2 linked regions of the Schizosaccharomyces pombe genome follow. Each later gene encodes a partner of the first gene's protein in a complex. Each region holds a gene or a part of one and is shown on either strand. Other genes may lie near its edges. A codon is read from its position in the direction of its gene.

Region 1 (6,627 bases):
TTGAATGGTTGTTATGGCAATAAAAGATGTAAACAATTACATTATTTACATATTTTGACAATAAACACAAATACAGGTAGTTACGATTAAAATCGAGTTGAAATACTGTTTTACCTTTTCATTTTCACTAGTTGTGTATAATGCTATCTCAGTATCATAGATGCTTTTACAGTATTTTTATTATTATAAAAGGCAACTAAATTCGATGATTGAACTGAATCGCTATCGTTTGGTTTGTAACTTATAATGTACACATGCCTGGCAAGATTCTTGCTTTGCTTTACTTTTATCACACTTTAATAAATCGTCCGACAAATTTAAATCATTTTCACCTATAATTGCAATAGAACATCAAATAAGTGTATATATTCTTCTAGCACTTCTATAAACACCACAACTGCTGCACTAGCTACTTTATTGCCAATTAACTGATGGCCTAAATATCTGATTAGTTTGAAAGCAGAGGACTAGTGAGCGCTATAAACAAAATTATATTCTATATTTTATATTGGGTATTCCTATATTCGTTAGGTACTAAATACTGAGTTTTACTTCACCTTTTAGTCGATATCGTTGAGACTTTTACCAATAGCAACTATAATGAATTAGGGGTTTTTCGTGCTATAACATTACCGCTCAATTTCTTTCAAACCACCAAGCGTCAAATTAGAACTACCTACTAAGCATTCGAATATGCAATAAAATTTCACCTTTGCCATAACCATAAATTTTACTATTGTTGGATAAGTCTTATTATTGCTAAGTAATTGATTACCTTAAGTTCATTTATCAAATAACAAAGCTCTACGTTTCAAATTTCAAAAAAAAAAACTTAACCTACTCATTGAGTTGTTTCAAATAAAAAAAAAGCAATTGGATTCTCTTCTGTTGGAAAGCACCCTTCATACAGCAATATTGGTATTTAAGGCATTGAATTTAAATATATTACTATGGCATTTCGTGATTCAACTCGCGATTTCAACAGAAGTAGACCTGAAAAAAGGCATGCTTCGAGATCTTCTTCACCTCGTTCATTTCGACCTTCAAATCAAAATGCAAGAGCAAATTATAATTTAGTAAGTAGGAAAATGTTAGTTGTTTTTGAATTAACCTTCCCTTTAGCCGAGAGTGAGAGATGCTATGAAAGAGGAAGAGCGAAGTAGGGAAACGAAAGAAATGCAAGAACGGGAATTTTTGCGTTTACAGCAGCTTCGAAGAGCTATTATTCGACTTAAGAATGATCGTTCTAAGCCTATAGATAAACTTCTTGTCAGCGTTTACTTGATGCCAGGCCCAGAATGGGAAGAGAATGGAGAAAAAAATTCAATTGATTTTGGAACAGTTGACATGTTTGATCCACTCTCTGTTATTCAAGTAAGGGACTTATTTTATTTTTACTTTATAACAGATTAATCATTAACATACTTAGAGTTATAAAGCAGAAGATTTGGAGGAGATATCTAGAAATATTGGTGATATTCAGCAGCTGGAAACGAACCAATGTAGACTAACTTATTGGAAGGTATGGATTATTTTTTATGCTTTAAGTGCTAAATTATACATTATAGTACGTTAAAATGCTAGTGAATTCTCGAATGGAACATAACAAAGTTGGGCAATTTTCAAGAGGGTTAAAGGTCGTAGCAGGTGAAGTACAAAGGATTTTAGCCCCTAAATCTTTTGAACAATTAGAACAGCTTGAGGCACAAATTCAAAAAAAATTGAAGAGCAATGTCCCTCTCGATACAGATTATTGGGTTGATTTACTAAACTCTTTAAAATCTTACAAGGCCATTGCTTATTTAAAAAAGACTTTTAATGAAGAATTACAAATTCGAAAAAATAAACTTGATAATGAAGAATGGGACAAAGCTTTTTCCGATGCCAAAAAACTGTCAAATATGAAGGATCGTGAAGAGAAGTTATATATTGTCCCTATAGACCCGAAGCCCATTTTGAGGGCTCAAGCGATACCACGCAGGATACAACCTGAAGAACAAGCCGATTATGAAAAAGAATTGGTAAGATATTTGTGTTTTTCATAATATTAACTCTCTTCCAAATTACGATTTCCATCTTTTGTCCTAACCAAAATCTTTTCTAGAATGATCATGTCAATATTGTAAAGTCTAGCACTTATATTCCAATATCGATACCTACCCAAAAACAAAAGCCAACTTTGCCGAAAAACAGTAATCTGATTAACGAGGATGAATTTTCAATTGCCAACAGGGCACGACTCGAAAGAGAATACTTACAATCCGATGATGCAGAGGAGCAAGAGATGCTTGGGGACTATGTAGAAGGGCAAACCCGTGTTGTTAACGAAAACGGGGTTACTTTGAAAAAGCCTCACTACTTTAATAGAGTTTTGCTTGGGTTTGAATGGAATTCTTATAATCAAGCACATTTCAATGAAGCCCACCCACCTCCCAAAGCAGTTCAAGGGTACCGTTTTAACGTTTTTTATCCAGATTTAATAGGTACAGGCCGTGCACCAACGTATCGAATAGAACGAACACGAAGGAAGAATAAAAGCGACACTACTGATTTACAAGACGATGTTTGCATTATACGTTTTATAGCTGGGGAACCATATCAGGATATTGCCTTCAGTATAGTAGATAAAGATTGGGATTACAGTGCAAAACGAGATCATGGGTTTAAAAGCAGTTTTGACAATGGTGTTTTATCCCTCCATTTTCGATTCAAAAAGCTTCATCATAGAAGGTAAAATAACTGATTTATCATGTTGTACATTTAATGAAATTTAAATTACTGTTACATGTGCAGCTAAACAACCTTAAAAGGCATCTACTAAACTACTTAAGTATTGCATAAATAAGTTTAATCGTAAAGAAACACGAAATCGATTAGTTCGTGATTGAAAAGCTAAACTAATTCAAGAAGAAGGGGGTGATAAATAGAAGGAAAAGGCATCATAGAAATTTGAAGTTCCCTGACATAAAAATATGCTTCGGATGTCCTCAAAAAGCATCTTTCTTCCCCTAATTTTGAAAGGTTAGAAAAAAATAGTATAAATCGAGTAATAACATACGAAAATGACTCTTCCAGAGGCATAAAGGGAATACAAACCAAGACCAGCCATAACAGCGTAGTAAGGATAAACAAGAGCAAAACTACCTGGTCTCTAAATATTAAACAATTAGGTTCTTTTTTCTCTTCATAATTAAAAACAAGTTTCGTTTAAAACTTACCTGCAAGTAAGTTGGTTTGTGGATGCTTTGGAGAAAGCGTTGTTGTTGAACAATAGTATTCTTCATTTTTTTCTTTTTTAATTAATAATTGTTTTAATAATTATAAAACGAACCAATAATCAAGTTAACAAGTTAAACTGTTAAAAAAATGAGGGTTAACGATAAAATGTAGGTAGGTGCGGAAAGGATTGATGGTTCCAATTAGTACATCTTGGTGCCAGAACACAGAGTCAACCTCATAAACTCACATATTTAAGTATATTAATAAGACGGTTAAGTGAAAGATATTCGTATTATTAAAAAAATGCTCCTTTATCGTTTTTGGTATGTATCATTTTAAATTAATCTTACTGAACGAGATTAACGCTAATAATATAAATTAATTGTTGTCAAATAATTTAAGGACGGAATCATTGTCAGATTGATTCTTCTTCAAAAACTAAAGCTATCTCCTTATAAGCTATTGGGGAATCTCTTTCAAACATGGTATAAATGCGTCCATGGCATACTCGGAGCAATAATAGTATAGCGATCAAAGTTAATAATGAAGATGCATTTGCTTGTACTTATATAAATTCTTATGGTTGTTGAGATAAGGGAACAATTTTATACTGAGTTACATATGTTCTATCCTTCATCAGTATTCTCTACAAACGCGAAAATTCCTTGTCCATTTAAGCAATTCGTATTACAAAGCTCTATGTTCATATTATACGAAGGACGTTGAAAGTTTTTAATTGATTCTGACAATGACTTACAGATAGAATATGATGGTTTGAGTTATTGAAAATGCTAAATCGTCTTTTCAAGTAATTGATGAACTAAAACAGTTTCTTATACATTATATTTCAGAAAGTACTTTAAAGATACTCTGCTTTCTTCCTTGTTTTTTTTTTTTTTTCTTTTTTTTTTTTTTTGGAATACTAATACCGAGAAAACTTTCGTCAAATTTTATGGGCCTAATAATAATCTTATGAAATTAAGGTGCACTTAACCGAGCTATACTTTAAAGATTACAATTATCACAACTGAACACAACATTATATTGTTGGGGTAAACCTTTAAATTTCATGCATTTGAAGAAAATTGATTGCATTAGCTTAAAATATAGCTCACTTAGTGACTGGATGATCATCATAATATTATGTCGAGTTTTGTTTATTAGTCTTCCACTGTGAGCTGTTCAAAACTAAGATTATTTAACGTATTTTCATTGGCATAGTGTTGGAGGAAGTTAAAAATAATAAGCAAAGTAACCTCTGGAAGGATAAAACTGTCTATAAAAATAGCAATTACGCTACAAAAGTTTATAGCTTTTACGGCTTTAATGCTATTCTCATTTACAGGTACTAAGACTCCTTTGGATGCTTAGTTACAGTGATAGGGCATAATTAGAATCTTCAATAAAATAGGGGTTTGAAAAACTAAACTACTTGTGAGAAAGAATTAAGCCTTACGTCTCTTTGAGTGAATTCCCTTTTCTGCTTTGTTAATCCATAATCTGCTGTATTTGACTTCAAAATACAACTTTAATTGATTTACTTTTAAAAAGTTGATTGATTGGTAAATTGAAAGTTTTTGCTGGACTTCTGCTTATTTTCACAACAATTATATTATAAAGGGTTAAGTGGTGTGCAATTGGTTTTTAAGAGTTTGAAGCAAGCTCCATGTTAATTCTAATTAAAATAAAATAGAGTGATTAATTTTAAATGGAACGGAGCAATGCTAAGCTAAATATTGAAGATTGGGTCTCGTTAAGAAAGGTTTGTGGTGCAATTTGTTTACAAGGCTTTAATGTGATAAACGGTTGACGAATGAATGAAACCAAATGGAAAACAACTTCCAAAATATTTAATAAATTTTTTAAAATTTGTTTCGCTACGATAGTCAATGAATTGACCCAATGCAGGAGAAATTTGTTGTTTCAGTAGCATTTCTGGATTTCGAGAAACAGATACATTTTAATTAATTTAATGTGTCGCCTTATTTTTTTAAACATGTAAATGACTTTTTTTCTTATGCATATTCTTTTTTTGAGAAGTTATCAATGTTTTAATTAAGTATGGTTGCTATGAGGCATGTAAACAAATGGCAACCAATTCATGTGGTAGGTGAGCAACTTGGTAATAGAAAAAAAAGTACGGTGCAAGGATATGGTAACAGTTGAGTAGCTTAAAATGTAAAAAACAACTTAAGTAACTTTTGTTTTGTTTTAATCCGTAGGATTTTATTCTCTCGGTTACTTAGCAGCCATCACATTAGTAACATACTTGTTACCTTTACCCACTGTACTTCTTATTTTCTCACCTTCTTTTCCTTGGTTCCATTTCTCGACCACTATCTCTTTCCCATTTTATCGCAAACTTATTTTTCAATACTACTTTGTGAACTACATTAAGCCTTTTGCTTTCGTTCTTCTTAGTAGTGCTTCTCTCTCTTCGGACATTGATCACTCGTTTTTTGGAAGTTCGATTTTGCGGGAAAGTTGAGATACACCATTTAATAAAGAGACTATTTGATTAATATTATAGTCAATTTTCGATCAATTCTGTGTTTTTTGTCCATTTCGCACCCACTTTTCCGTTGGTTTGTGAGACTATAGCTTTAAAAGTGAACATCTGTGTAACAGGAGTGATTGAAACTATCGTTTTTGGTTTTGATTATTTGTTTTTCTTTCCTTTCAATTTTGTTTTTTTGTGTTTAATTCGCACTTTTTGGAAGCTTCTGCTAGCTGTGTTCATCGCCCTTATCAGAAGCCTTAATCTTTTCGTTTGTTGGATTTAATTATTTATTTTGCTCGAACAATAGTAATCGTGGTATCCTGTCTCCTCTCTTTGACTAAAATCCAAAGCCATGCATTTTGCAGACATTCCTCTTAGCAAGCCATGTCTGAACAACCCCCCAACATATCCATGGTCATCCCCAATTTTATCCAGTATTGCTAATCCTTCACTATGTGATATTGTATCTTCTCCATCATCTGTTTCTTCCTTTGCTTCCTCGGATGATTTTGCATTCATGAACGCATATTGTCTGCCCATACAACAAAACCACCAATTTGGTAGTCCAGTTGCTGCTTCGCCAAACCAACAACCGCTCGTAGAAAGCCAAAATCGCCGGAATGTCACTTATGCTTCTTTAGTCATAGGAAAACTTGGAATTGCTCAACTCATTCGTCAACAAACTGATCCTCCTCAAATTATCCATAGAAAGCAAGACAAGGGCTTAATGGCAAGGGTCTTGTCTAGATCCAAGAAGCAAGAGGAGAGAGAGAATCACTCTTCTGATGCTCGTGATGCTATTAAATCTGCCCTTCGAAGGAGAATGCGCCGTCGTGAAGGCCGTGTTCAAAAGGCTTTAAGGCCCACCCCTAACTTAATTTGCTCAAAATGCAATACCACGTTCAACC
Region 2 (7,214 bases), on another chromosome or scaffold:
CAAGGACTATTCTAAGAATTTCTTGAACTAATTTGTCTCGAGGACTACCAATTGTTAATGGTCTTTTTCCACCACTGGCTTTATCAATTAAGATACGTCTACCAGGAGTGAAGTTAAATTCTTCAGATTTAAGGCTTTGGATAATTTTATCAATAACATCTATAGACATTCCATCTAAAGTATCCGGTTTAAGACCAGGAGTCATCATACCAGGATTAGATTTTAATTTATTATAAGCAATAAGGAACATATCTCGATTTAATAGGAAATCTTTGTAGAGATTTCTATCAATTACAAGATTAGGATAATTTTTTGATCGTTTAGATAAATCGTCTAGTTTATTTAGTACATTTTTTGATCGTCCTGATCCTGTACTAAATCCTCTTACATTAGATACCCCTAAAAAAGTATTAATGTATCCTAAACCAATATTAAATATTGATCTATTGGAAGACTTTAATGTAGCTGATCCACTTCACTGTGTTGAAATCTTTGCAGAGTTCAAACTTCTTCCCTCTTTCAAAGGACCGTATTGATCAAAATGATCAACAGCTACTCCAGGATCTCTGACCGCATAGTCATTACTGACCTTAGCGGGACCCGTAGTTGTATATATGTTTGAGTTGATAGACGTAGGTTTTCCACTCATTCCCTTAATTGTACTATTGGTACAACTCTCTTCTCCTGGTGTGTATCCTTGGTCATAAAAGCCAACCAAAGATCTAGAGAAGAATGTCTCTATTCAGCTAAGACAATCACCTATCTGAGGGTGAGATGGGAATTGGAATTCGGGCAATACAGCTCTAACCGTATCTATTTGAACTGATCCATCTGAACTTATCTGTTTCGTTACAGGAAGGACCTTCTGTACACATGCTCTGTTCGGCATTGGGTTTCCCCAGCTACCTAAGTGTATTGTTCATATCTTTACACACAAGATATCCCTTTCTCTATGAGGGTACACATATATACCACAACGGCGCAATTTTATCAGATAATACGGGTTCATTGGGATTCTGTCCATATTAGCTGTTACACCTAATGGATTTGATGAACCATTAGTATGTAGAGCAATTAAATGCATTACTGATAAAGCAGCAATAACAAAAGGCATTAAATAGTGAAGTGAGAAGAATCTATTTAAAGTAGGATTAGATACACTAAATCCACCCCATAATAGATGAACTAAATCATCACCAATGAAAGGAACAGCTGATAATAAATTAGTAATAACAGTTGCACCCCAGAATGACATTTGATTAGCTGGTAAACAGTAACCTAAAAAGGCAGTAATAATAGTTAATAAGAAGATAATAACACCAATATTCCATGTCATTGTTCTTGGATATTTATAAGAACCATAATATAAACCTCTACCTATGTGTAAGTATAAGAAGATAAAGAAGAAACTAGCACCATTTGCATGGAAAGCTCTTAATAAGAAACCATAATTTACATCTCTAACAATTCTTTCAACTGAAAGGAAAGCTAAATCCATATTAGGAATATAAAAACAAGCTAAAAGTATACCAGTTACAATTTGAATAACTAATACACAAGCTAAAAGAGAACCAAAATTCCAGAAGTATGAAATATTTGAAGGTTCAGGAGCATCAATCATATAATTATTAGCCAAAGCTAAAAAAGGATTAGATTTTAAAATTTTCATAAAAATTAAATTTGAAATTATCCCTTCTAAATTGAACAATCATTATCGATAAATAGTCAAAAATTTGAAGGAATTGGGAAAAAAGATCCAAATCTTATTAAAAGGATATTGGATAATAAAAGATAAGATAGGTTAGATACTATCTGAGATCCTCTTATACCAAAAATATGGGAAAGGGATTGCTAATTAGAGGAATTGAACCTCTAACTTCGTACTTACAAGGTACGCACTCTACCAATTGAGTTAAATTAGCTAAAAAAAAAATACACACCTTCTAGGTGTGGAATCTGTACTAAGAATCGAACTTAGATCGACTCATTAGAAGTGAGATGCTCTACCATTGAGCTATACAGACTATTTTAGAGAAATAAGATATAAAAAGGGGGGAAAAATTGAAGTAAGCCTTAGCTACCCCAAATATAAATAGTTAAATAAAGGAATAACCAAACAACATCACAGAAATGCCAATAATAAATACCACATTCAAATCCATTATGATGAGTATTAGTTAAGTGGTAAGTATAAATATTATAAGTAGCAACAAGAAGTAGAATTGTACCAACAATAATATGAATACCATGAAGACCAGTAGCAAAATAGAAACTAGCACCATAAACAGAATCTGAAATAGTGAATGGAGCATTCCAGTATTCATAAGCTTGACCTCCTAAGAATAAGAATGATAAAGCGATAGTCATATATAAACCTTTTAAAGCATTTTCTCTATTTCTAGCAATTAATGAATAATGAGCATAAGTTAAACTAGCACCAGAAGTTAATAAAATTACTGTATTTAATAGAGGGACTTCTAATGGATCTATTGTTTTATCTGCTATTCCTACTGGTGGCCATACTGCACCTAATTCAAAAGTAGGTGATAATGAACTATGGAAGAAAGCCCAGAAAATAGAAGCAAATAAGAAAGTTTCAGAAATTAGGAATAACATAAATCCTATTTTTAATCCTTTTGTTACTGCTTTTGTATGTGCACCATGAATATTAGCTTCAGTTGACATATCTCTAAACCATAAATACATAGTTGCTAATAAACCTAAGAAACTGATTCCAAAGAATACTGATGAATGTTTGTATCCATGTAAATATAATGTAGCTGCTAAACAGTTAAAGAATAATACTACAGATAAGAAAAATGGCCAAGGTGACGCACTTACAATATGATAAGGATGTCCTTGAAATTTAGTAGAAAGATTCATGTTTAAGCTAAATTAGTTTATCTCAATAGTGTTCTCTCACATATAAGGAATAAAAAAATTATAAAGATACAATTTTGAATAGGATAGCTAAATTATCCTTCAATCTCCCTCTCCAATTTTTAAATTGGAATAAAGTTTATAAAATAAAAGGGGGGTTAAGATTTTAAATTAAATACTTTTTGTAGGTAATGTATTAAATGCGTGTTCGTGTACTGGTGAATGTAGTAACCATTCTATTGATTGAGCTACCCCTAATTTTTCATTTACGAAGATTACATTATCATCAAAATAGCTAGGGATTAAATAAGGATTTGTTTTAACCACTCTATTTGATGTAAATTGATCATACATAACATACATAAATAGGAATAATGAAAGAATAGAAATTACTGAACCAATACTTGATACAAAATTCCATCCCACAAATGCATCTGGATAATCTGGTATTCTTCTAGGCATACCATTTAATCCTAAGAAATGTTGAGGACCGAATACAATATTAACACCTATGAATAAAATCCAGAATTGGATTGAAGCTAGAGTTTCATTGTACATTAATCCAAACATTTTTGGACTCCAATAGTAGTATGCACCACAAAGACCAAATAATGCACCCATTGACAGAACGTAATGGAAGTGAGCTACAACGAAATAAGTATCATGGAAAGCGATATCTAATACTGAATTACTTAATATAACACCTGTTAATCCACCAATTGTGAATAAGATTAAGAAACCAATAGCATATAACATAGGTACTCTTGACCATTGTATTGCACCACCTGTTAAAGTAGCTAACCAACTGAAGATTTTAATACCTGTTGGAATTGCAATAACCATAGTTGCAGCACTGAAATAAGCTCTAGTATCAACATCTAAACCAACTGTGAATAAGTGATGAGACCATACCATTAATCCTAATAAAGCAATACTTAACATAGCCCAAAGCATACCTTCTTTACCGAAAATAGGTTTATGAGCTAAACTAGGAATAATGTGACTAACAACACCGAAAGCTGGCATAATTAAAATATAACAATAAATTTTGGTTAATGAAAAAAAATCACCCAAAAGGTGATTTATTCTTTTTAACACTCAAAAGCTTTATACCCTTGTTAGGACTTTATTTTAAATCTCAACAAATCTAATTAATATTCTTCCGATAGGGATGAGGTTTTTTTATTTGAGAAAGTCCTGATTCTGTTAAATGTTTATTTTCTTGAATAATAAGATAAGCTTTTCTTCATTTTAAATAGCTAATATATTTAGAAGATAGCAAATGATAATTATCAAAATAATTAATAACTTTTTTAGCTGAACCAAAACTAGTAGAACCATAATAATAAGTATCTTGACTTTTTCGATAGCCTATATTACCACCTAAATTATCTTTAATTAAACTCAAAAGATACTCTTTTTTTTGATCTATTTGATAGTTCAATCGAACTTCTATTTTTTTGTCCCTATTTAAAATTTTAATCTGAAAACTAGCATCAGCATCTGAGAATCCAGCTAGCCAATGATTATTTAAATTATTATTTGAATTTAAACCTAAAGTAATAGTTTTACTAAATTCTTTAAATCTAGGATGAGCAAATATATTATTAATAATCTGATTATATTTACTAGTAGTTCTAAATTTATTATTAATTAAAGTTATTACTCTTTCAATTCCTTTAGAGTTAGCTATTATAAAAAGAATAGCATTTTTATCTTTAATTTTACGTACAATACCATAACCTATTTGTTTTTTAATATAATAAGCTAATTGTATATCTAAAGAGTGAAAAGCAATAATTAATTGTTGTTTACTACTAAAATGACCATCACCATCAATTAAACCTGCTAAATAGTGACCAAATTGAGAATCATTAGCTGGTTTTAAGTGTTTAGGGAGATGAATAGAAACTTTTTTTGTTGTGATTTCGTTGCGTAAAGTCTCTGAGGTTCCCTTATTCAAAAGGTTACCTGCTGATATACTTAATTGTTTTAACATTTTTACTATAAAAATAAACACTAATCTGGTGTTTTTCTTGGAGTATTTAAAACAAAAACACTTATCTAGTATTTTTCAAGTAGTTCCAGCATATAGCAACGTTAAGAGGCCTATTAAATTGACCTCTGGATGACCAAAGAACCAGAATAAATGTTGGTAAAGTACAGGGTCACCACCACCTTCAGGAGCATAGAATGAAGTATTTAAATTTCTATCTGAGAATAACATAAATAATCCACCTGCTAAAACTGGTAAAGTAAGCAGTAATAGAATTGATGTAATCATTATAGCCCATGCAAATAATGGCATTTGATATAAACTTAATCCTGGAGCTCTCATATTAATCATTGTCGCTATTAAATTTACTGATCCTAATGTTGATGAAATACCAGTTAATTGTAAACTTAAAATAGCTAGATCAATAGCTGGACCACTATGAGAAGTGATACTTGATAGTGGTGGATATCATTTTAGTTAACAAGATTTCTCAATCTTGATCGGACTATACCTTGAACTTATTTTATTTATCCTTTGGATGTTGTGATCCTCGGGAATATTTATTTTTTAATTTTCTAATTAAATCTCTAGCTCTTAAAAGCTGTTCAAAATTATAATTTTTACGTAAAGATCTAGACCAAATTTTAAATTCTAATGATTTTACTCCTTTAAAACAATTTTCAAAATAAGATGAAAGAAATAACATTCTTTCTTTTGAACTAGTTGATAAGGAATAATTTGTAATTAAGGAATTTTTTTTTGATTTTATTTTTGGTGAGATTTGAGAATTAAATAGGAACTCTGAAATCTGAGCAAGTAGGGGTTGTTCATAATTTTGAGTAATCTCAAACCCATGAATTATTCTTACAGGGCTTTTTTGTAGTAAATAAAAGCTCCCTTCTGCTTCAATAAATCCAATTAACCAAGACTTTGTTAAATATTTTTCTAAATTAACTGGAGAATATTGTTTTAAAGACTTTTTCTCTATTCTGATCTCTTCTAGTTTACTATTTTTTTCAAAAGAATTTAGATTAGCGTCCTCTAAAATTAAGAATGCTTTTTTAAACAAATAATAATCCCAATATTTTTTAGTTAAAAGAGGGAATTGATCAAAAATATCTATAATCTTTTTAAGATGCTCTCTTCTTCTTAATCTATATATTACTGTATTAGTTGAAGATTCTTTATAAAGTGAACCAATACCTAAATTTCTCTTAATAAAATATAAAATTCTATAATTATAAAGATTTTGTGTTAATTTAAAAGTAAGAGACCATTTATTTTTGCCATTTTTTATTTTTTGTTTTGAAATACTAAAACAACCATCACCATCAGTAAATCCTACTAACCATTGAGTAAAAGAGAATTTTGATGGTGAAGATGATGAAAAACAGCTTTTTACCCTTGTAAAAGGATGTCTATTAAAAAATTTATTAAATAAGAACCTCTTCATTAAACACACTCCGAAAGAGTATGTTGTTCTATAAACCAAAAAGAAACATAAAATATTTTCTAATTGTGATAGAAACGAGTCTCTGATGGATTTAACCAGGCGAATTTTCCCCAAGTTAGTAATCTTTTTACTAGTTAAAAAATAAATTAACTGAGTAATTACTTCCGAGTAGAGGACTTTTTCGCATCGAGAAGAGTTTTCAGACAATTTTGTCTGCGGCTTTAAAACCGTCCAACCACCACCAGGTCCTTCTTCTGTTAATGCAGAAATTAATAATAGCATTAGAGCAGGAGGTAGTAACCAGAATGTGAAATTATTTACTCTAGGGTAAGCAACATCTGGAGCACCTATCATAAGAGGTACTAAATAATTACCAAATGCACCAAATAAAGCAGGAATAATGAAGAAAAAAATCATAAGTATACCATGTGCTGAGATTGCAACATTGTATAATTGACCATTTCCAGAAAGGAATTGAGATCCTGGAGCTGATAGTTCCATTCTAATTATAAAAGAGAATACAGATCCAATTATCCCAGATACCAATCCGAATAATAAATATAGTATGGCAATATCCTTAGCATTAGTTGAGAATATCCATCTATTAACATAAGTCCACCAAGAGTTCATTAAACTCAAGACTAAATTATTAATTTCTAAATAAGTTTAAGTTAAAAAAAAATTTTTAGTTTTCATCCAAAAGCTAATTTATTAAACTATTTTAAAAGGATTCAATATTTTAGGGTAGATGAAAAGATCATTAAGATTATTTAATAACTTTTTTAAACTTTGTTTAAAGGTTTCCTACCATTTAAGATTTTTTGACTTAAACAGATGTGGTTAAGGAAAAGTTGGTAAAAGGGCTCGAACCTATAGATCAATCTC

What was found. The genes of interacting proteins can lie anywhere in the genome.
Region 2: the proteins of cox7 (region 1) and cox3 are in contact, whole or in part, in a cryo-EM structure (PDB 8C8Q), measured with the Schizosaccharomyces pombe proteins. Residues at the interface, in NP_001343154.1 of Schizosaccharomyces pombe: Lys2 (codon at 3,281), Asn3 (codon at 3,278), Ile5 (codon at 3,272), Gln8 (codon at 3,263), Gln9 (codon at 3,260), Leu12 (codon at 3,251), Gln13 (codon at 3,248), Pro18 (codon at 3,233), Thr19 (codon at 3,230), Tyr20 (codon at 3,227), Gln22 (codon at 3,221), Arg23 (codon at 3,151), Ser26 (codon at 3,142), Leu29 (codon at 3,133), Val30 (codon at 3,130), Tyr33 (codon at 3,121), Tyr34 (codon at 3,118), Met37 (codon at 3,109), Leu40 (codon at 3,100), Gly41 (codon at 3,097), Tyr43 (codon at 3,091), Ser44 (codon at 3,088), Ala47 (codon at 3,079), Ser48 (codon at 3,076), Arg50 (codon at 3,070), Val51 (codon at 3,067), Lys55 (codon at 3,005), Lys56 (codon at 3,002), Asp57 (codon at 2,999); in YP_011104931.1 of Schizosaccharomyces pombe: Ser16 (codon at 2,838), Ala17 (codon at 2,835), Ser18 (codon at 2,832), Pro19 (codon at 2,829), Trp20 (codon at 2,826), Phe23 (codon at 2,817), Val26 (codon at 2,808), Val27 (codon at 2,805), Phe29 (codon at 2,799), Phe30 (codon at 2,796), Leu33 (codon at 2,787), Leu37 (codon at 2,775), Gly41 (codon at 2,763), Tyr42 (codon at 2,760), Lys43 (codon at 2,757), His44 (codon at 2,754), Phe48 (codon at 2,742), Ile51 (codon at 2,733), Ser52 (codon at 2,730), Gly55 (codon at 2,721), Thr59 (codon at 2,709), Leu62 (codon at 2,700), Arg65 (codon at 2,691), Asp66 (codon at 2,688), Thr69 (codon at 2,679), Glu70 (codon at 2,676), Asn72 (codon at 2,670), Ile73 (codon at 2,667), His74 (codon at 2,664), Tyr231 (codon at 2,193).

The regions. Positions count from the first base shown.
Region 1 is NC_003423.3:1,712,153-1,718,779, forward strand, and holds cox7 (cytochrome c oxidase subunit VII Cox7), read right to left. Parts: upstream 3,393-6,627; 5' UTR 3,331-3,392; intron 3,291-3,330; 5' UTR 3,285-3,290; coding exon 3,219-3,284; exon of another isoform or gene 3,152-3,218; coding exon 3,059-3,151; exon of another isoform or gene 3,037-3,058; intron 3,009-3,036; coding exon 2,988-3,008; downstream 1-2,987. Other genes in the region: cay1 (cactin), read left to right, coding at 951-1,076, 1,123-1,374, 1,430-1,522, 1,569-2,021, 2,105-2,734; transcriptional activator MBF subunit Rep2, read left to right, coding at 6,072-6,627.
Region 2 is NC_088682.1:4,630-11,843, reverse strand, and holds cox3 (cytochrome oxidase subunit 3), read right to left. Parts: upstream 2,884-7,214; coding exon 2,074-2,883; downstream 1-2,073. Other genes in the region: cob (apocytochrome b), read right to left, coding at 986-1,669; cox1 (cytochrome oxidase subunit 1), read right to left, coding at 3,052-3,919, 5,001-5,345, 6,556-6,959.